3 linked regions of the Diceros bicornis minor genome follow. Each later gene encodes a partner of the first gene's protein in a complex. Links are inferred from orthologs where the notes say so. Each region holds a gene or a part of one and is shown in the gene's direction. Other genes may lie near its edges.

Region 1 (7,251 bases):
AGTATGGCAGTTCCTCAAAAAATTAAAAATAGAATTGCCACGTGATCCAGCAATTCCACTTCTGGGTGTATACCCCAAAGAACTGACAGCAGGGTCTTCAAGAGATATGTGTACACCCACGTTCACAGCAGCACTATTCACAACAGCCAAAAGGTGGAAGCAACCCAAGTGTCCATCAACAGGTGAATGGATTAAAAAAACAGGGTGTATATATACAGTGGAATATTATTCAGCTTTACAAAGCAAGGGAATTCTGACATGTGGTACAACATGGATGATCCTTGAGGACATTATGCTCAATGAAATAAGCCAGTCATAAAAGGACAAATATTGAACGATTCTACTTATATGAGTTACCTAGAGTAGTCAAATTCATAGAGACAGAAAGTAGAAGGGTGGTTACCAGGGACGGAAGGGAGGGGGGAATGGGGAGTTTTTGTTTAATGGTTACAGAGTTTCAGTTTTGCAAGATGAAAAGAGTTCTAGAGATTGGTTGCACAATTATGCGAATGTACTTAATGCCACTGAGCTGTACAATTAAAAATGGCTAAGATGGTAAATTTTATGTGTATTTTACCACATTTTTTTCTTTTCGGTGAGGGAGATTGGCCATGAGCTAACATCTGTGCTCATCTTCCTCTATTTTGTACATGGGACGGCGCCACAGCATGGCTTGATATGCAGTGCCTAGGTCCACACTGGGGATCTGAACCTGCGAACCCTGGGCTGCTGAAGCAGAGTGCATGAACTTAACCACTGTGCCACTGGGCCAGCTCCAACCACATTTTTGAAAAATTTAAAAATAAAAAGTAAAAAGTAAATAAATAAGTATTCAGTGTGATTCTTGTAAAAAAAAGAATATGTGGGGGCTGGCCTGCTGGCATAGTGGTTAAGTTCATGCACTCTGCTCTGGCGGCCTAGAGTTCAGGGGTTCAGATCCTGGGTGTGGATCTACACACTGCTCATCAAGCCATGTACAAAGTAGAGGAAGACTGGCACAGATGTTAGCTCAGGGACAATCTTCCTCACCAAAAATAGTAATAATAATAATAATATGTAAAATATGCCATTTCACTAATAACAACAACAGTAAAAGCCATCAATAATAGCAAATATTTATGGTGCTTCCTATGTGCCAGGCACTGTCCTAAATTCATTACATACTCGTATTAGCTATCTTTTGCTGCGTAACAAATTATCCCCCAAAACTTAGTGGCTTAAAACAACAAACGTATATCATCTGACATGGTTTCTGTCAGTCAGGAATCTGGCAACAGCTTAGCTGGGTGGTTCTGGCTCCGGACATCTCACGAAGTTACAGTCAGCATGTTGGCCATAGCTATATATAGTCATCTGAAGACTTGACTGGGGTTAGAAGATCTGCTTCCAAGATAGGTCACTCACATGGTGCTGGTTGCTGGCAGGAGGCCTCAGTTCTTCCCCATTTGGGTCTCTCAAGTGCCTGCTTCACCGCCATTGATACCGTCTCAACACAAGATTGACATAAGGGAAGCCACATTGTAGAAAAGAAACCATACTGTAATTCTCAATGACCTCTGACTCACTGACCCAACTGGATATGCACCCTTCAGGCGATGTACATGCTCTGTAGATTTTATGGCCCCTGCTTGAGTATGTACCTGTCAGCTGTGATAAGTAATGTGATGACCCCCTGGGCAGAGAGTCTATGCTGATAGCCATCATCAATGACAATGGAAAGATCTGGTGTGGCAACTCCCAGTCTAACACCAGAGGGCTAACATTCCTAACCCCCTCCTGCATAACCCACTGGCCTACAGAACTGCCTCAAGATGCTGTGCTCCCCTTAAGATGGTTCTTTAGGACGCTAGTCCCCCATCTTCCAATTTGCTAGCTTATTGCTTAATAAATGCCCTTTCTCTGCCACCATCTTGCCTCTTGACAATTGGCTTTTGTCTTGTGGCAAGCAGATCATGCCCTTTGCGCAGTAACATCATCACAACATGGTGGTGGACCTCCCTCAGTGATGTGATCCAAGAAAAAGAGGAAGGAGGAAGCCTCAATGCCTTTTGTGGCCCAGTCTCAGAAGTTACCCAGCAGGGCCGGCGCTGTGGCATAGCGGTTAAGTGTGCGCACTCTGCTGCTGGTGGCCCAGGTTCAGATCCCGGATGCGCACCCATGTACCACTTGTCAGGCCATGCTGTGGCAGCATCCCATATAAAGTGGAGGAAGATGGGCACGGATGTTAGCTCAGGGCCAGTCTTCCTCAGCCAAAAAAAAAAAAAAAAAAACGAGGAGGATTGGCATGGATGTTAGCTCACGGCTGATCTTGCTCACAAAAAACAAAAAAAGGCACCCAGCAACACTTTTGTCACACTCTATTTGTTACAAGCAAGTTACTAAGTGCAGCCCATACTGGATGGTAGAGGAATTAGTCTCCACCTATTGAAAGAAGGGGTGTCAAAGAAGCTGTGGACATTATTTCAAAACAGCTTCATCCATTAGCTCATCAAATCCTGACAACAGTCCAACAAGGTGGGTCCTATCATTCAACCTCACATTACAGATGAGGAAACTGAGGCACAAAGAGGCTAAAGGTCACATAGAAGGGGCCGAGCCGAGACTTAAATCCAGGCAATTGACTTGGGAACCATTTTCTTTTTTTGTGTGTGAGGAAGATTGGCCCTGAGCTAACATCTGCCAATCCTCCTCTTTTTGCTGAGGAAGAATGGCCCTGGGCTAACATCTGTGACCATCTTCCTCCACTTTATGTGGGATGCCGCCACAGCGTGGCCTGACAAGCGGTGCGTCAGTGCCAGGATCCCAACCCCAGGCCGCTGCAGCGGAGTGCGTGCACTTAACCGCTACGCCACAGGGCCAGCCCCTGGGAACCTTTTTCTTAATCACTAATATCACCCAGTGGGGAAGAAACCAATTGAAGAAAAAATATTTAAGAAGGAGCATTGACAGGCCTTGATGACTTGTCGCATGTGGGAAGTGATGGAGTCTAGGAGGACACCCAGGCACAACTTCCATATTCCTTTGACACTGGGAGACGTGTATCCAAGAGAGGCAGGATAGCAGAAAGGTTGAGAACACAAGGTTTAAAGCAAGGTTTAAAGAGTCAGACAGAACTGTGATCGATTTGGCTAAGACAAAAGATTTTGCCTCAATTTCTTCATCTTAAATAAAGCCAATAATGTTACCTACCCTGCAAGGATTAAAGGAGACCATGCATGCAAAACGATCAGTTTACAGGGGCTGTCGCAGAGAAAGCACTCAATAAATGGTAGCTTTCAAATATATCTATTAGTGAAATATTATCCTATTAAATTATTTATATAAATATTATACTATTGAAATGTTGCCCCCTCCCTATAACTTTGAGCTGGTGACTCGAACTTTTGTGGTCCCGTTTTGCTAAAAAGTAGGAGAAAAAGTTCCCTTTGGACTCCTGGTCTGGGCTGGAGGAGTAACTAAGGGTCAACTGCACTTAGGGGGCGGGAAAGGCCCTGCTCAGGAAATCAGAACGTATCAGGGCCGCTGACAGTCTCCTTGCGCCCATTACATGGATGAGATAATGGAGACACAAAGGCGTGCAAGGCCACAAGATAAGACACTGGCAGAGTCTAGTCTTCAAGAACCGGATTTTCTGCAGAAAAAGGGGCCGCAGTTCCTCATTTCTCATACCCCTGCCCCCACACCCGCCTCCTTGCTCAGAGCCAGCAGTAACTGAACTGGGCAGTATTTCTGAGAAGGAAGTTGGATTTATCAGTCCTTGAGGAGCCTGGGGGAACTCTAAAAAAGGAAGGAAACCCCCCTCCCCAACTTCTCGAGTCTCTCTGAAAGAGGAAGGATCTTTTTTCCAGTTATGAGGCAGGGGGATGCACACAATGACCTGAGAAAGAGTCCCTCTTGTTCCTGGCTCAAGTCTCTGATTTGTGGTCCGGTTGGGAGAGAGTTTAGGGGAGCATAGGGCATCGACGTCTTCGCTTATTTTGTAAAGAGGGTTACTGGAAGAAACAGTTGGCGCTCAAACTTCCTCAGCCACACTCAAGATGGCAGCTGCCCGGCCACGCCCCAAAAGGCGGAACCGTGGGTCGTGGCTGGAGAGACACTTTTCCCAAAATGGAGACAGCGGGGGAGAGAAAACGTCCATCATAGCTTAGCCCCACCCTCGAGGACGGCTAGGGCCAATTAGCGACGCGCAGGGCGGGTGCAAGGCCAGGGGAAGAGGCTGCTGTTGCCCCAGCAACAAGCAGGGAGCCCGGAGGCGGGCGCGGCTCGGAGGGATCTCACTGCTTCAGATCTCTCACTGCTGGGAAAGTCCTGGGAGAGGGGCGAACCAGGCCTGGGAATTCAGCGCCCGCGGAGAGAGGGACAGGTCAGGCCCATGAACTCCAAGCCCCACTGCCGCTTTCGCCCCTCCTAACCGTTAAGCGCTCTGAGGTAGGAATAACGCATGCGCGGGCTTAGAGGCGGGGCTAAGGCGGCCATGCACTTAAGACGCATGCGCCTCATGGAGCTTGGGCGATCTGACGCGAGGGGGCGGGGCTTCTGTGCTTGTGGGCGGAGCCGTAGGCCCCTGGGGCGGGGCTTTCCGTCGTAATGAGCAAGAGGAAAAGGTTATTTTAAGGCAGGCAAAGTTAGACGCCAGCTTCTCAGCCCAGCTCCCCATATTTATCCGGGGCTCTCCTAGCGAGGCAGTTAGGATCATGGTTAAGACTGCTGCCTCAGTGGTTTGACGAAACTAGCTTGGAATCCTAGTACAGCCCCTTACTCCGTGGGGCTCAGTTTTCCCATCTGTCAGGTGGACATAATAATACCCGTATCTCAGAGGGCTGTGATTATATCTTTCCCCTCTCAGGGCCATGGCTGAGGTGCACGTGATCGGGCAGATCTTGGGTGCCACAGGTTTCTCGGAAAGTAGCCTCTTCTGCAAGTGGGGCGTCCACACAGGTATTCCGGGCCTGGTTCATTTCCCCACCAAGAGCCCCCTAGCCTAGATGCTCCACCCTCCTTCCTTGATGCCCTGACCATTCCCTGCTCTGCATCTTCCATTGGCTCTCAGGACTCCTAGCCTGACCACACTGTCCACGTGATTCTCAGGCTCCCTTCTTATTCCTTCCTATCCCATCTCTGGGGGCTCTGACTCCCACTCTCTGAACACACAGCCCCTAAAGATGGGGACTACAGGCTAGACCCCCCCACACACACACTTCCAATGCTCAAAACAGTAGACAGCCCTAACCCCACTGTTTGGACTTTGCTCCCTGTCTTAGGGGTGCCTTGGGTCCCTCTGGCATCTTAATTCTTTGCTTAACAGCCTCTACTTTATTGAGTTCTTACTGTAAAATGGAAGTTTTCATCCCAGATTTACACAGGAGAGGCCACCCTCCTGTATTCATAATTCTCTGTGGGAATGTAGGAACCCCATTCTGGCTGTCATACAAGTCCATCCACACAGCCCCTGGAGGGACCTCAGAGGCTCCAATTTTCATGCCTCCCCATCAAAGGCAGTATAGCATGGTGGTGCAGCATAATGGTTAGGGCCATAGGCTGCCAGATCTGGGCTCAAATACGAACCTATTCATTGGGGGACTTTGGACTTGACTGCCCTGAGCCTTCCCTTCCTTGTCTGATAATGAAGCTAACAGCAGCTAAGAGGCAGCAGAGTGTTGAGGTTAAGAGCACAGACTGCCTGGGTTCAAAACCAGCTGTGGCTTATTAATTATGTGACCTTGGGCATTGTCTTTGCCTCAATTTCCCTGTCTGTACTATAGGAATAATCACAATACTTACCTCATGGGGTTGTTGTGAGGACTAAGTGGACATCACCAGCACTTAGAAGAGGGCCTGGCTTAGTAAGTGCTCAGTGAGTGTCTGGCTCCTGTAACAATTGGGTGGGACTTATTTTTAAAGCCCAGGTATGCTGCTTGGCACAGGAACATGCCCGTGCTACGAGTGTGGCTATTGCCATTATCATGTCTTCAGGCCCCGGGTCCTTGGTGATTTCACTGGTGGGTAGGGTGCTGGTTGAGATTGCCTGGGAATTTGGGGTCCTCCAGCTGAGCCCAGTCAGACTTGGGTTCCAGTCCAGCTGTCCCGTCTTGGAGCCCCCGTTTCCTCTTCTGTAAAGTGGGAACGTTTGTCCTTCATAGGGATGTTGGGAAGTCTCGCATGTGAAGAACTAGACTCAGGGCCTGGCACTTTCCTTGCATGGCCCAGAAGGGAGCAGTAACTAACGTGATTTTTATTATTTCAGGGGGCTCTTGCGAGGTAGTTAATCTAGCAGAGAGCTCAGGGGCAGTCGGATAAAGGGATTGAACTCTGCAGTCAGACAGAGCTCAGTTTGAATCCAGCTCCACTGTGGGACCTAGGTGTGTGGTCCTGCTGTATCCCCAACGTGGAGAACAGTGCTTGGCACACAGTAGGTGTTCAATGAATGTTCATGGAATGAATGGCCAAGTGACTTTCCTTCTTAGAGTCGGTTTCTTTACCTGTAAAATGAGGATTGGATTAGCACCTGCCTCCTAGGATCACTTATTTGTCCAACAAACATTTGTTGAGCACCTTCTGTATACCAAGATCTGGGTTGGAGGTCCAGGGGATCCTAGCAGTGTACAAGATCCCTGCTGTCCTGGGGCTCACAGTAGGGGAGACAGAAAATAAATCAGCAGATAAAGAAACGGGCACAGTGATGACAGATCGTGGTAAGCACTAGGAAGAAATGGGAAGAGATGATGTGATGGAGACTAGTTTGGGGAAAGGGGGGTGAGGGAGAACCCCTCTGCGAAAGCAGCACTTGAGCTGGTTCCTGAAGGATGAAAAAAAAAGCCAGGCATGGGGACATCCAGGAGCAGAGCTTTCTTGGCAGAGGGAACAGCCAGTGCAAAGGCCCGAGGACAGGAACAAAAATAGGACCAGTGAGGCCCAAGGGTGGTGAGGGCTGGGGAGAGTGATGGGAGCTGAGTTGAGGAAGGGGGCACAGGCCAGGCTACACAGGCCTTGTGGGCTGTGGAGGAGAGTGGGTAAACTGGGGGCCAGGGTGGGGATTAAGAGTCCCAGAGGGCAGATTAAATGAATTCATTCCTAAAGCGCTTAGCACAGCGTCTGGCATTGAGTAAGCACCCAGCGCATTTTTGCTATTATTATCAGCCTCAGTGGGATCGCTGTTATCATGCACCTTTCTCCATGTGCCTGGGGAGAGCACCCTTAGCCCAGTCTTAGTCCTTGCACCAGGTGGGGTGAGAACAGTAATAAGATGATATC
Region 2 (7,066 bases), on another chromosome or scaffold:
CATCTTCCTGTTTTCTTCCAATCTGTGAAAGAATGACTCTCCTCCCCTGAGATGGTCCTTCTCCCACTCTTACATCCTAGTCCTTGACCCCTTCCTAGGAGCTCAAGAGAGAGTCAATTATTCCTCTCTTTATTTTGAATCTCTCTTCTACTACTCCTTTCCTTTCCACTTATATTCTCCTTATCCTAAAAAAAAAAAAAAAAAAAAAAAATTAAAATTCTTTTAGCTCAGTCCCTTCTTTTGCCTTCCTTTCAATGCCAAGTTCCTCAGAGTAGCCTCTATCTGGGGCTTGTTCTTTCTCACTACTGCTCTATGGCTTGCTTCCACTCCTACCACTGTAATGAAACTGCACTCTAAAAGGTAACTAATGATCACCTAGTTGCCAAATCCAAACACTTTTTCTCCATCCTCAGCCTCCTTGACTTTTTTGCAGCATTTGTACTGTTAGGGGGCATGTGGTTAAGCAGCCCCAAGAGTTAAAATACCATGATTCAAAGTTTGTGTCTGTAAATTACAAGCTGTGCTTTGACGCAGGTTTTAAAAAATCTCTACGTGCTTCCATTCAATCACCTATAAAAAGATGGTAACAACACTATAGGTTTCATAAGGTTGTTGAGTGGATTAATTTTGATAATGTAGGTAAGGCATGGTACAGTACCTATCTCATTCTAGGTGTTCAATAAGCGTTTGATATCCTCTTTGAACCCACTTTCTCACCTTTTTTGGTACCCTTCTTCCTAAGCTGACATTAAACCATGTTCTCCTAGTCACATCCGCTTCTATGTATAACTCTTGCACATTTCAGCTGGATGACTCTGGGCATGTCTTTAAGCCTGATAAATGGGTATAACCGTACTGCCTATTCATAGGGTTGTTAAAAAGACTGAAATGATGCATGGAGGAAGTTTAGCACAACACATGGCATAGAGACAACATTTGCTTTCCTGATTAAAGAGACAGAGGCAACATCTCTAGTTCAGCTCTTTTCCTTCTTCTCATCTTAAATCCGAATTTTGATATCTGGTGTAAGGCATTCATATTGCAACTAAGAGGGAAAAGCCAAGAGAACTGCAGAGATGACTATCTGACATCATTGAACGAACACCAGCAGCCACTTACCTCCAGACTTCTCATATTTATTTTTGTTTAAGCCATTGTGAACTGGGTTAAACTACCTGATCTTCTATTACTTGTAGCAAAAATATCCCTAATGATACAGTCCCAATTGATGCTTAACAGCTTTAGCTAACATTCTTTCTCCTATCCTTGTAGGCAATTTACACAGACAAACCTATAGTATCTACAGTTATCTCAAATTTAACTGTGTCTATTTTAATCTTTCTGCTACAAATAATCTCTATTTAGCTCTTTGAGGCAGTTTTGTTAGATGCAGCACTCAAAGGTCTCAGATAACCATCATTCAGCTGTCTGTGGTATATTATGTCAATATCATCTTGTTAACTAAAGACAGTAGGTTTGTCCTACATGTAGAATATACCAAAATTTTTCTCTATCTATTCCACAAAGAAGCCACTTAATAGATTGAAACGATAACAGGTTATGGAGTTGGCCAGGTGGAGATAGATTCTAGTTTCACCACTTCCTAAAATGTACCATTTTTGATCCTCAGTTTCTTTTTTAGTAAAAGGATACAAAAAAATGGATAGTATTCCCTCAAAGGGTTATTATGAAGAGTTAAGGTTAATGCTGTTAAGTGCCTAGCACAGTGCTTAGTGGGGGACACAAAGAAGACCATCATGAATGGGAGCTCTTTTATTGCTTTAATTATATAGTAGGCAATGAGTAAATATTATTGCCCTAATCCCTTCCACTGAGCATATAACAGTATGCACTTCATTAAGGAAGACTAAAGTTAAAATTTGCCTGTAGGAAGCTTTTGCAGATTAATCTCAACTATTCTGACCACACCGTTTCTGAGTCCCCATTAACATTTGTATAGTCACGTGTTTTTTCAAAATTGTTTTCAGGTAAGTGGTTTCCACTTCAAATTAGTCACTCCAACAACACGGTAATTACTCAAAAACATTTTTTAGAAGTCCTCTTTAAGGAAGAGTTTGCAGAACATACACCTCCTGTGTCATAGATATTAGTGACTAAGTGAATGCTGGTTTTTTTGGGGAAGGACACATGAGGAACTCTAGGCCTAATGGTAGCTAATGGTTAAAGTTATGTAACTTCCTTAAATGTGTTTTCCACATGCATTGAGAATATTATGTGTGTGTGTGTGTATTTTCCTTAATAGTGACAAATTATCATTTTTATTACAAAATTTGTTTTTTTAATGGAAATTTATTTTACAGTTTTTTTTTTTTTTTTTTTGGTGAGGAAGATCAGCCCTGAGCTAACATCTGCCAATCCTCCTCTTTTGTTTTGCTGAGGAAGCCTGGTCCTGGGCTGACATCCATGCTCATCTTCCTCTACTTTACATGGGATGCCACCACAGCATGGCTTGGCAAGTGGTGCGTCAGTGCGTGCCCGGGATCCGAACCAGCGAACCCCGGGCCCCCGCAGCGGAGCACGTGCACTTAACTGCTTGTGCCACCAGGCCAGCCCCAAAATTTGTTTTTTTGAGAAAGCCAAAAGTCATTTCAAGCTACTACTGATGAATAAAGTGGCTTAAAATTATGCCGGCTGATTTTATTGGGAAGGGGAGAGGAGGACAAAATAACAACAATCAAACAAACAAAATACAACAAAAACAGAAGTGAGATTTAAATATTAAGAAATATTTTTTTCTGGGCCGGCCTGGTGGCGCAAGCGGTTAAGTGCGCACACTCGGCTGCGGTGGCCCGGGGTTCGCCAGTTTGGATCCCAGGCCCGCAACGAGGCACTGCTGTCAGGCCATGCTGTGGCGGCGTCCGATATAAAGTGGAGGAAGATGGGCATGGATGTTAGGCCAGGGCCAGTTTTCCTCAGCAAAAAAAAGAGGAGGATTGGCAGATGTTAGCTCAGGGGCCCATCTTCCTCACAAAAAAAAAAATATATATATATTTTTTCTTTTATGATCTATAAACTGGCTCTGAAGGTAATTCTAAAATGTTTTGGGGCTAACAGCCTCCAAGGGTGCCTACTTTGAAAGACAAAATTCATGTATGTGTAAATTTGATTTAAAAAATTAGGTTCCTTCTTTATTAACAAGTAGGGTAAAGATTATTTCATTTTATATACATTATTTCCTGTCCTCAAAACAAGGAAAGTAGAAACACAAAGAAAGGTCTGGCAGGAAGATCTTTTTTTTAGTGCTTGAGCCAATCTTCCAGCATTGCATATTTCAAATAGGTGTTTTCCCCACATTTTTGACAAATGTATTTTTTGTTTGTTTTGTTTTTTGTGAGGAAGATCAGCCCTGAGCTAACATCTGCCAATCCTCCTCTTTTTGCTGAGGAAGACTGGCCCTGGGCTAACATCCGTGCCCATCTTCCTCCACTTTATATGGGACGCCGCTACAGCATGGCCTGACAAGCGGTGTGTCGTGCACACTCAGGGATCGGAACCGGGTTGCAGCGGAGCGCGCGCACTTAACCTCTTGCGCTACGGGGCGGCCCCTGACAAATGTATTTTGACAAATACATTGATGGAATGTCTCCTTCACCACGACCCAGTCTGGATAAATTCTGAGGTAAACATCATTCAACGGTTTAATGAAACAATACTCTTAATTTTGTGGTACAATCAGATATTTTCTTTGCTGTGGTATCCTATTTCTTGACCTCCTAAATTGATTTCACGTCCCGCTAATGGGTCGCGTCCCAGAGTTTGAAACAACCTTTTGAAACAGCCGGTCGCGCCTGCAGGATCCAGGGTTAGCTTTCCTCCAACCCATCCTTTCTCGGACTAGGCAGCTTCCGGGCTTTGGTAACCTAGCAACCAGGCAGTGCAGGCAGATACTTCCGGAACCCCAGGCCGGGAGTTGTCCAATCGGCTCCGCGGACTCGCCGCAGGGGCTGATGGGGCTGATCGCCGCCGGCGTCTGCACCATGGTGACGGGCGGCGGTGGGACCGCGGCGACCATGGAGGCTTGGTCCACCTCTTCCCCCGCGGCTGTGACTGCGCTCCTCGTGTTGGTCCTCCCTCGCCTCTCACAGGCCCAGACCTTCTCCTTACCTTTCCGGCAGCCGGAGACGTGCGGCCACAACCAGTACTTCGATATCTCCGCGCTCTCCTGTGTCTCGTGTGGAGCCAACCAGAGGCAGGACTCCCGAGGTGAGACGGTTTGGGGTGGGCTCTGGAAAGTAACATTGCCGCCCTGGCGCTGCTCCCAGACCCCGGCGTCGCTGGAACACCGTTTCATCTGCGGGAAGAATGTTTCAGGAAAGGTAACCGCCGGCGCCTGAGAGAAGGGTTCCCTTTGAGGATTGCAGCTTGCACGGTGATGAGGTTGGGGAATCCCGAGCCCGCAACCCTGTGAGCCGTCGCCAGTCCCCCATTCCTCGTCCGAGGGGTCTTTAGAGAGGCACCTGGAAAGCTGCCCCCCGAAGGTAGAAAAGAAATGGAGGAGTAACCTGAGGTGCAGAGGAGCGGGAGACAGGACAGGTTGGGAAGGGAATGCAAATTAGCGCGTGTGAACTTGAATAGCCCGTCATCTTGCTTTTCAAATCCCAGGAACTGAGAGCTGGAAGAGACCTTAACCATGATCAGGTCCAGTCATCTCATTTTACAGATTAGGAAATTGAAGCCCAGATGATGTTGTAATGTCTTCTGTGTCGCCTAAATTAGGACTGGGGGACTCTGGAAGTGTCTCTCTGCTCTCAGTCTCCAACTTTGTATTTCCACTCTATAGTGTGTCCTTAACATTATAGATTTCCTTAGGACTTATCCCTTTTATTGTTGAATATTTCTAATTGCTCTTAAAGTCTCTTTAGATTAAGCTTATTTTTTTTTCTTGGTACGTCCATCATTTGATCCTAGTTCTCCTCCCTGCACTGCTCAGAATAAGACTTTTCCCGTATTCTAAAGTCTAAGATGTTTTTAATCTTGATTTAGTCACCCGTGGTATTAACTTTCTGCCATCTTCAAATGTGATATATCCTCATGCAATTCATTGTATAGGACAGGTCAGGCTCGGCAGCTGAGAAAATATGAATGAGAAAGCATTATGAACCCAGATATCATGTGCGTTCTATTACATAGATTCCTGTGGGTGCTGTTTCCACTTAATGCCTCCTTAGAAAATGCCGTCCTTACCTACCCAGCAAGTTGAATAGTGATTATCTTATAATGTTTACTGTCTGTCCAAACAGAGGAAAACTGATTTTTACTCTAATCAAGGTAACTTTCCTAATACGGTTTTGTTCTGACAAAGTAAATTTGAATTCATTGAATATATGTGTATGATTGGGTGAAATAGAAAGGTAAAATTTCCCATAGCAATAAATCAATAGTTTATTAGTTTAATCCAGTAATTTAATAGTCTAGTTATTATGGTAGCAAGCACAATGCCTACTGTGTGCCAGATGTATTCTAAGACCTTTACATACTGACATGTCACTAATACATATGCATACATAACTAATACTCATCCTAACCCTGTGAGGTAGGTACTGTTGTCCTCATTTTGCCAAAGTGGAAGCCCAGGCACAGAGAAATTGAGTACCTTGTTCAAGGTTATGCAACCAAGTAGCAGAATCAAGATTAGAACCCAAGGAGTATGTTTCTGCATTTGAACCAAGGCAGTACTGGCTCCAGAGTCTTGCTCTTAACTACTATGCTGCTTTTCAAGATCTTAAGAATTATTACAAGTTTCCCTATCTTGGAGTTTTATTTTTATTTACCAAGGTCAAAGTTGGCTCTTTTCTTTTTAGGAACTTCATGTGTGTGTCTACCAGGATTTCAGATGATCTCTAATAATGGAGGACCTGATATTATTTGTAAAAAGTGCCCAGAAAACATGGTATGGAGTATTTATTTTTAAATAATTTTACTGTAAAAAGTAAATTAAATGTCTTTATTTTTTAAACTATGACTAGATGCTGTACTCTAATATTTTCCCACAAACTTTACAATTATTAAGCTGACTTTGTTTTTGTTTGAATAGATTTTGGGAGATAAGTGAAATTTTATGCAAACTTAGAAAAAACAGAAATGTATTGCTTTGGTTTTTAAAATCTGGAATCCAGAAAACCAAAAAGCTTTGAAAATTTGTGTCTATTTTTCCTCTTAGAGTAACTCAGTTATAAAGAAAAGTAGATGAGTGAATTTAATTATGAACATATTCAGTCTTTTCAACCAAAATTTAAAATAATTTGTGGCATTGTTTTGTTATTGCCATTGTTCTCCGTTAATTTTGGTTACATCCATGTTTGTACTATAATTACTGTATTTTCCCCAGGTTTTTCCTAAACAATATAATATAATAAGCCCATTTTGAATGATGTCATATTTTATCAAAAACCTTTATTAATACAAGCTATTAATGGATGGGAGGAAATATCCTCATAATTTAATTTTAACAACTTTATTTACATATAATTTATATACCATAAAATTCACCCATTTTGAATCATAACAATTTTTAAAAGCTAATGTATTTGAATTTTTAAAAATTAGAATAATTATTTTAGAACAAATAAGACTAACCTATTAATTGGCTATCTATTGATAAAATCTTGTTGAATTTTGTTGTTTTATCTTTATAAATGGAAAAACTCAATGACAATATTAATTATGAAAGTAAGGACTCATTTGAACTGAAAATCATGAAGAAGAAAGAATTATTGGCCAGAGTTAATAGTCGTCAGTACATAGTCATAATGTATAGCTCCATTTGGAAATATAAGTACAAATTGGCTATCCAGGAAATTTTTATGTGGCTCATATGTTTATGATTTATTTGAATATTAACTACAAATTATACACTATTGTGGCTTTTTGAACTTATATAATCAGTTAAGGAGAAAATAATTTTTTTTTTTTAAATTTAGAAAGGTGTTACTCAAGATGGCTGGAACTGCATTTCCTGCCCTAGTGGTTTAACTACAGAAGGCAAATGCCACTGTCCCACCGGCCATATTTTAGGTAAGAAGTAGATTCTTCATGAAATAGTAGT
Region 3 (6,840 bases), on another chromosome or scaffold:
GTTGATGAGGGCATGGCCTCAGGTGCCCAGGTGATAAATGCAGAAGGAATGATAGAATTAGGACGTCCCAGTTCTCAACCTTTCATGAAATAATGGAGCTAGGCGGTGATGATCAATAAACCAGGAGGTGAAAAACTGATGGCGAACTTTATAATGGTTGCCTCAGTCTGACTACATCTGAACCTGCTGCTCAGATTTAACAACGGAAAAATAGGGACAAGCAGGCATTATGTGCATCCTGATGTGATGGAATGAGAAGTACCATGATGTATTTTTATCAGAAAATTGAACATGAGGCTGATCAACCACTAGGTCTAACAACCAGTTTACAGGAAATACTGGTCGCAGGGGAACATGTTAAACGACACAACTAGTACACAGCCCAAAACATCCCAGTGTCTTCAACAGATAAATTGCAAGAAAACAAGGAACGGGGAGGGACAAACAGTGAAAAAATAATATGTATGAGATTGGACAATTTGAACTATTTTGTGATGTCTGAGATTTGCTTCAAAATAACCTGGTGGGCCTAGGAGGAAGGAGTATAGCTGAAACAAGGTTGGCCATGTGTTGGTAATTGTTGAAGGAGAATGGTAGGCTTCAAAGGGGTTCATTATAGTATTTTCTTTATTTTTACATGTTTGAATTTTTCCATGATAAACATTTTTTTTTCTAAGTTGTTTTATGACCAGTTCAAATGTTAGGACATGTGGGTTCCAGCCCTGAAGCAAGTGGCCCGCTAGGGGACACCTGGTCACTGGCAGTGCTTCCTATGGCCACAGGGTGGCTCCAAAACTCACTTTTGTGAGACGTCTCTGTAGAGCAGGCTGCGGTGAACCAAGGTCACAGAAAATGACAGAACAGACCTAAATGCCTGTTGTTTATTAACTCACAATGTGAAATGTGACTACCCAGTTCTTACTATCTAGTAGGTCCCTTAGGCAGGAAGCCTACTATAAGCAGAATGCCCCAAACTTCCGGCTGCTGGAGCCCAAAATCTAACAGTTATCCTAGACCCTTCTCTTTTTCTCGCCCACCCACAGCCCCATGTCCAGACCTTCTTATCTTCTATCTCTTTTTTTTAAAAACATAAATTTATACTGCCTTCACCTATTTCTAACTATCTCTTGATTCCTTCCACTTTGCTCCTGTTTCTTGATTCCATCCTGGCCTGATTTCATCCTGTCCTTCCTGGAGAACTCGATGGCTTCTTTACTAGCCTTCTGCTTAAAATCTATTCTCCATGTTGCAACCAAAGTCATCTTCTAGAATACAAATCCGACCATGTCCCTGCCCATGGCTGCAAGGCCCAACATGATCTGACCCTTGCCTACCCATCCCACCTCACCCCGATCTCTTCTTCCCCTTCCATTACCACACTTCAGACACACTAGCTTCCTGTTCTTTCAACAAACACACTGGGCTTGTCCTCACGTAAGGACCTTTGCACTTGCTGTTTCTCTGCCTGGAATGCTCTTTCCCCAGATCTCCACATGGCTGACTCTTTCTCTTCTATTTGTTCCAAGGACCTTGGGAAGTCTTGCAAAAGCAAGGTCACGGGCTTTCCTCACTTGCACTCTATGACAGTGCTTCCTTCACCTGTGAACAGTTAGACTTGATAAACTGTCGCTGGGGGAGCTTGGCCCTGAAGACCTGGGCTTTCCATTCTCAGGAGAAAAGGCATGTAAGTTACAGGCAGAGAGAAGAAGAGTATGAGGAGCCCTTCAGTCCTTGCATCTTCTCTGTGTACTAAGAATGTCCCCACGCTTGCTACGCTGTGATTTCCATGTTGGAGAGCACGGGAAGCCCACCTCTCATTGTATTTCAGTGTCATCACTGTCACATCATTAATGAAGACGAGGGTCACCTCAAGGGAGAGAAGCAGTTGGGCCCACCGTACTTGATGGGTTTGCCCGTCCCTCCTGAGATGGGGGAAGTTTGAAAATATTTTCAGAACTTTGAAACAGTCCAGTTAAAGAGAGAACCTCCCCTACACAGCTGAGAGCTGAGAAACCAGTGTGGGTAATATTTGATTATCATCAAATATTTTTTGAGTGGAGAATAAAGAGACTTTGCTGAACCTCACACTTTATAAAAATAATTCCTCTGAGAAGTCTAAATGATTGCAATTTTTATTTTATGAGTTTTGGTGATCACATTGTCTCCATTGTGAGGAAAAAGCTGTGCTGCCCTCTAAAGAGGCGGTTTTATATGAACATGTTATTACATAGTGTTAATATATAGGAGGTCAACATTTAGGGACACTCAATCCTAGAAATCATTCCTTCTTTTTATACAGCAATTTAATGTCTCAATGATAATATTGTATAAGACCTGGAAGGAAAACTTTAAAAGGCTTATCATTTAACACTTTTTATTTTAAAATAATTTTATTTCTAGAAAAGTAGCAAAAATAATACAAAGAATTTCCCTGTGCATTCACTGAAAAGGCACATCATTGTCTTTGCTTTATCATTGTCTCTCTATCTCTACAGACGCATATATTTTTTCTAAACCATTTGAGAGTAAATTGCAGACATAATGCCCCTTTACCCCAAAACACTTCAGTGTGTATTTTCTAACAAGGACGTTCTCATCCATAAAGGCATTAGAATATCAAAAATCAGGAAGTTAACACTGATAACAAATACTATTATCTAAGCTAGAGACCTTATTCAAATTTTGCCAATTGTTCTACTAATATTCTTTAAAGTAAAAGTTTTTTTTCCCTAATCCAAGATCCACTAGGATCACACATTAAATTTCTCGTGTCAACTTTGTCACATCTTAATCTCCCTTAATCTGGAAGAGTTCTTCAGTCTTTGTCTTTCATGACCTTGAGGAAACATCTTTTGACTATCTCTTTGAATTCTGAATTTTTTCACCCACTGGTTTATAAAAAGGAAATCCATTTATTACACTGAGGGCCTGGAAGAGAGAAATGCATTTCCTCTCACTTTTGACCAAATTTCCTAAAACAAAGTTTTAGGGCAAATGACCCACTTCAAACAGCTTTTTCTTGATCATATTATTCTAGTGTTTCCCTTTTAAAATTTTATTTATGGCACCTATTACCATGCAGACGTATTGTTTGCATGTTTGCTGTCGATCTCCCTGACTAGAATATAAACCCCACGAAGGTAGAGACTTCTGTCAAGAACAAGAGCCCAGCACAGTGCCTGGCACTTACCAGCTGGTCAATAAATATCTGTTGAATGAATGAACGAATGAGTGAATGAATCAAGAAATCAGAAATGCCCCTTGGTCTTGTACTTTAGACCGTCCTAAAAGCACTGAGATGGAGAGTAGGGAGAAAGATGATCTTCTCCTAAGTGGACGGGGGGTCCCCGCGACTCCTGTGACTGTGAGCGATAAACGCGGCCGAGAACTTTCCGTTCTGCAGGGATCCCCTTTGAGGCCCAAAGGTCAGTTGTCTGGGGAGTCAGGTGGGGGGAATCAGAATCAAGGAAGGTTCAGGTCCGGGGTCCTCGGAGAACAAGGGGCTGCGTGACAATAAGTGATAGCTGGACCATCTAGGGACATCCATCTCTCCACGTTTAGTTCCCTTCGTCTCCTCTGGCCCAGGGCAGTGGGAAGCTAAAGGGATGCGGAGGAGAGAAAAGGAGAGAGTGTCCATGCCTTGGGCATGGCGGTGCCCTAAGCCCGGCGGGGCGGTGACATCGTCTCTGGTGAGCAACTCTTCCGCGGAGGGTCATCCTGGGCAACGTAGCGGGGGTCTGCGGCCGGGCCGCTCCTGGCGTGGGCATCCGGGGAGGAAGGGGTGTAGTGGGCTAGGGCAGGGCGGGTGTCCTTTCGCTCGCCCTGCGTGGGCAGGTTCGGCGGTGCGGGGCTGCGCCACATCGCGCACTCTCACGTGCAGACGGCTCGGCTGCGCGATGGGAGCCGGCCCGCGGTAGGCACCCGGCAGGGACCACCCGCTGCGGACCCCAAACCTACGCTCTCCAAGAGGTCCACGGCGGCTGGAGAATTTACTGCTCTCGCGAGATTTTCAGAGATCCGGCCGCGGCGCCCGCTTACGTGGTTGCCGAGGCAACTGGGCGGTGCCAGCGCGAGCGGGAAGGGGGCGTACGTCGAGTTTTTGTCTGCTAGCCTGCGAGACTTCAGGAGTGGCCATCCCTAAACTTCCAGCCCCTTGAGACCTCGGCTTCTGCTCCAGACGGTGCCTCTGCCCCTGGGGGCCATGGGCCGGATCTCAGGGCTCGTGCCCTCTCGGTTCCTGACGCTCCTGGCGCATCTGGTGGTCGTCATCACCTTATTCTGGTCCCGGGTAAGACCCACGGCCACCCTCTCCCGCCCCCATTCCCGCCTCGGGGTGGTCCCAACCCAACCCCGCTTCTTTCCCAGGGCCTTACCTGGTCGGGTCCTCCCGTGCCTCGCTGCCCCCAGGCCTGCCCCGCAGCCCGCCCCTTTTTCACTTCTCTTCCTCTCTGCCCTGCTCCCCAGGACAGCAACATCCAGGCCTGCCTGCCTCTCACGTTCACTCCCGAGGAGTACGAGAAGCAGGACATTCAGTGAGCACTTGGGGCGGGGTGGTCAGAATTAAGCAGTGGTGGGAGTGGAGGGGTCTTAGAAGAAGTCCAGAAGGCCTGAACCAACCCCTTTCCTCTCTGCAGGCTGGTGGCAGCGCTCTCTGTCACCCTGGGCCTCTTTGCAGTGGAGCTGGCCGGCTTCTTCTCAGGAGTTTCCATGTTCAACAGCACCCAGAGCCTCATCTGTATCCTTTCTGCCTGCGCACCTTTCCCACACTGTCCGTTTCCATCACAACTACCTTCAGCCACATAACTAGGCTTTTCTGGCACAATAGTGTCTGCCCTAGTGGACAGTCTCCCCAGTTGAGAGATCTCTTTAGGCAATGGAGAGTATTTAATACAATCTTTAGTCATTTGCCCCTGCTATGCACCAGGCACGGGAGATCCAAAAATGGGAGTAAAACACAGTTTTCTGCCTTGAGGAAGAGGCAGACACAGCCATCTGTAATTCAGTGCGATAAGCACTGTGCTGTGGGAGTGTGTAAAGATATAAAACATTATGGGAACTCAGAAGAAACAGAGGAAGTGAGAAAGATGGATCAGGGAAGGCTCTTGACACTTGAATTGTGGACCAGGAGGACCCGGATGCTGGAGGGTAGTTCCAGCAGAGCGTATCAAGTCACTGTGAGCATTCCTGTGTGGCCTGGGGGAGAGGAGGAGCCTACTCCTACCTCACCGGAAAGGTCCAGCCTGGCCTTTAGATATGGGGTGGGAGTAGCCTGGGTCTCAGCTGTGCAGGCTCACCTATGGCCTCTGCTCACGTGGCTGTCCTAAAACTCAGAAGGCAGGGCTACCGGCTCTGACCTTTGCAATGTGAGGAGGAAGCAAGAGGTGAACCTGAGTGCAGATGCCAGCCCCACCACTGGCCTTTTCTGGCCCATCAGTATCTATCGATCCATAGGCTTTCCTTGACTCTGGTGCGTTCTCAAGCCATGGGGGCTCACTGTAGTGCGTCTGTGGCCCTATCCTTTTTCATATTCGAGCGTTGGGAGTGCACCACGTACTGGTACATTTTTGTCTTCTGCAGGTACAGTAGCGTCCAATGTTTGGAGATGGGGGGGTGGAAGGTTTACTCTAAATCTGAAAGTTTCCCCCACCAGCGCTTTACTCCATATGTGAAATACCAGATCCACTCAACATCCTGTGGTCTTTTCAAGTCCCGCCCCACCTAGGCTTTGGGAGTGGGGTCTCTGGTTTGGGGATTTGGGTATTTTTATTGGAAGGGGCCCTGAATCCACCACCTGCCTTTCGCAGCGCCCTCCCAGCTGTCACTGAAATGGCATTATTCGTCAGCGTCTTTGGGCTGAAAAAGAAACCTTTCTGATCACCTTCATGATGGGAACGTAGAGATGAAGGCTGGAGGAGCAAGGCACCACTCACCGTTCCTGGAAGAAGGCAGGCGTAGGCTTCAGCGCTCCCACTGAAACTGCATTTGGTGGAAGATGTCAGTGTTAGTAGTGTTAAGGTAATTATCTCTCGCGTCTAGGCTTATCAAAGTTTAATTTAGCTCTTTGTAATAAAATATATTTTAGAGTAAGATCAAGACTTATAAAAATTTCAAAGGAGAATCGGGATGGCCAAACAACTGGAGAAACGGAAGGCTGTTTTCCAGCTTTGGAGACTGTAAGATAATAGGTATCGCTTTTATTTTGGTTATTACGGTAGCTGTCTGGCGAAGGGGGTGGGCGGAGATATGTAAATAAGTGGCGCGTACGACTAGGACTCCAAGCTCGTGAGTGAATGGAGCATTCTGGGAGGAATTAATTTATCCCTTTTGGCAGCCAAATGGAAAAAAAATTTATTTTAAAAGATCTGCAAATAAATGTTCCAACAGAAGTGGGGGAGCTTAAATAAACAGGTTGCTCAGGCTAACGCATTATATAGTCACCGTAGTTGTTAGCGGAATCTTTTTCCCTGAGTACGGAATGCCCTAGCGAAAGTTGGTTATCGTCAGGTAGGATAATCCTTACCTGTTCCCCCTTTTTGGGGGACAGATTAGAACATGATGATTGGAGTGCGCATGATTCGTGATTAGCGTCTCTGCGTGATCAGGACTTGCAACACCCTGATTACTCCTATCTGATTTTTCCTGACGATCGCCTTGTTTTATTTTTGTACTGATGGTTAGACTTGATTTGCTTAAACATGAGATGTGTGTTGAGCTTTTATCAGTAATGGATTACTTTGACTCAACTATTTTCCAATGTTGTTTGTTACTCGTCAATTTTGTCGTTGCTGTTTTGGGTAGAAGCTGAGTGTCCCGACTTTAAGCAGTTGGCTAGGTTCTTTT

Evidence for each region. The genes of interacting proteins can lie anywhere in the genome.
Region 2: B9D2 (region 1) and TMEM67 share a complex: the UniProt entries of both Homo sapiens proteins name them as parts of the tectonic-like complex. The link is inferred for Diceros bicornis minor from reciprocal best matches to the Homo sapiens genes B9D2 and TMEM67.
Region 3: B9D2 (region 1) and TMEM107 share a complex: the UniProt entries of both Homo sapiens proteins name them as parts of the tectonic-like complex. The link is inferred for Diceros bicornis minor from reciprocal best matches to the Homo sapiens genes B9D2 and TMEM107.

The regions. Positions count from the first base shown.
Region 1 is NC_080773.1:15,358,730-15,365,980, reverse strand, and holds the start of B9D2 (B9 domain-containing protein 2), read left to right. Parts: upstream 1-4,225; 5' UTR 4,226-4,363; exon of another isoform or gene 4,364-4,428; intron 4,429-4,846; 5' UTR 4,847-4,850; coding exon 4,851-4,938; intron 4,939-7,251. UniProt on the Homo sapiens protein: Component of the tectonic-like complex, a complex localized at the transition zone of primary cilia and acting as a barrier that prevents diffusion of transmembrane proteins between the cilia and plasma membranes.
Region 2 is NC_080760.1:13,098,401-13,105,466, forward strand, and holds the start of TMEM67 (meckelin), read left to right. Parts: upstream 1-3,998; coding exon 3,999-4,224; intron 4,225-4,238; exon of another isoform or gene 4,239-4,337; intron 4,338-5,822; coding exon 5,823-5,911; intron 5,912-6,941; coding exon 6,942-7,035; intron 7,036-7,066. UniProt on the Homo sapiens protein: Required for ciliary structure and function. Part of the tectonic-like complex which is required for tissue-specific ciliogenesis and may regulate ciliary membrane composition.
Region 3 is NC_080757.1:10,232,856-10,239,695, forward strand, and holds TMEM107 (transmembrane protein 107), read left to right. Parts: upstream 1-4,031; 5' UTR 4,032-4,201; coding exon 4,202-4,288; intron 4,289-4,464; coding exon 4,465-4,532; intron 4,533-4,634; coding exon 4,635-4,735; intron 4,736-5,480; coding exon 5,481-5,577; intron 5,578-5,804; coding exon 5,805-5,874; 3' UTR 5,875-6,272; downstream 6,273-6,840. UniProt on the Homo sapiens protein: Plays a role in cilia formation and embryonic patterning. Requires for normal Sonic hedgehog (Shh) signaling in the neural tube and acts in combination with GLI2 and GLI3 to pattern ventral and intermediate neuronal cell types.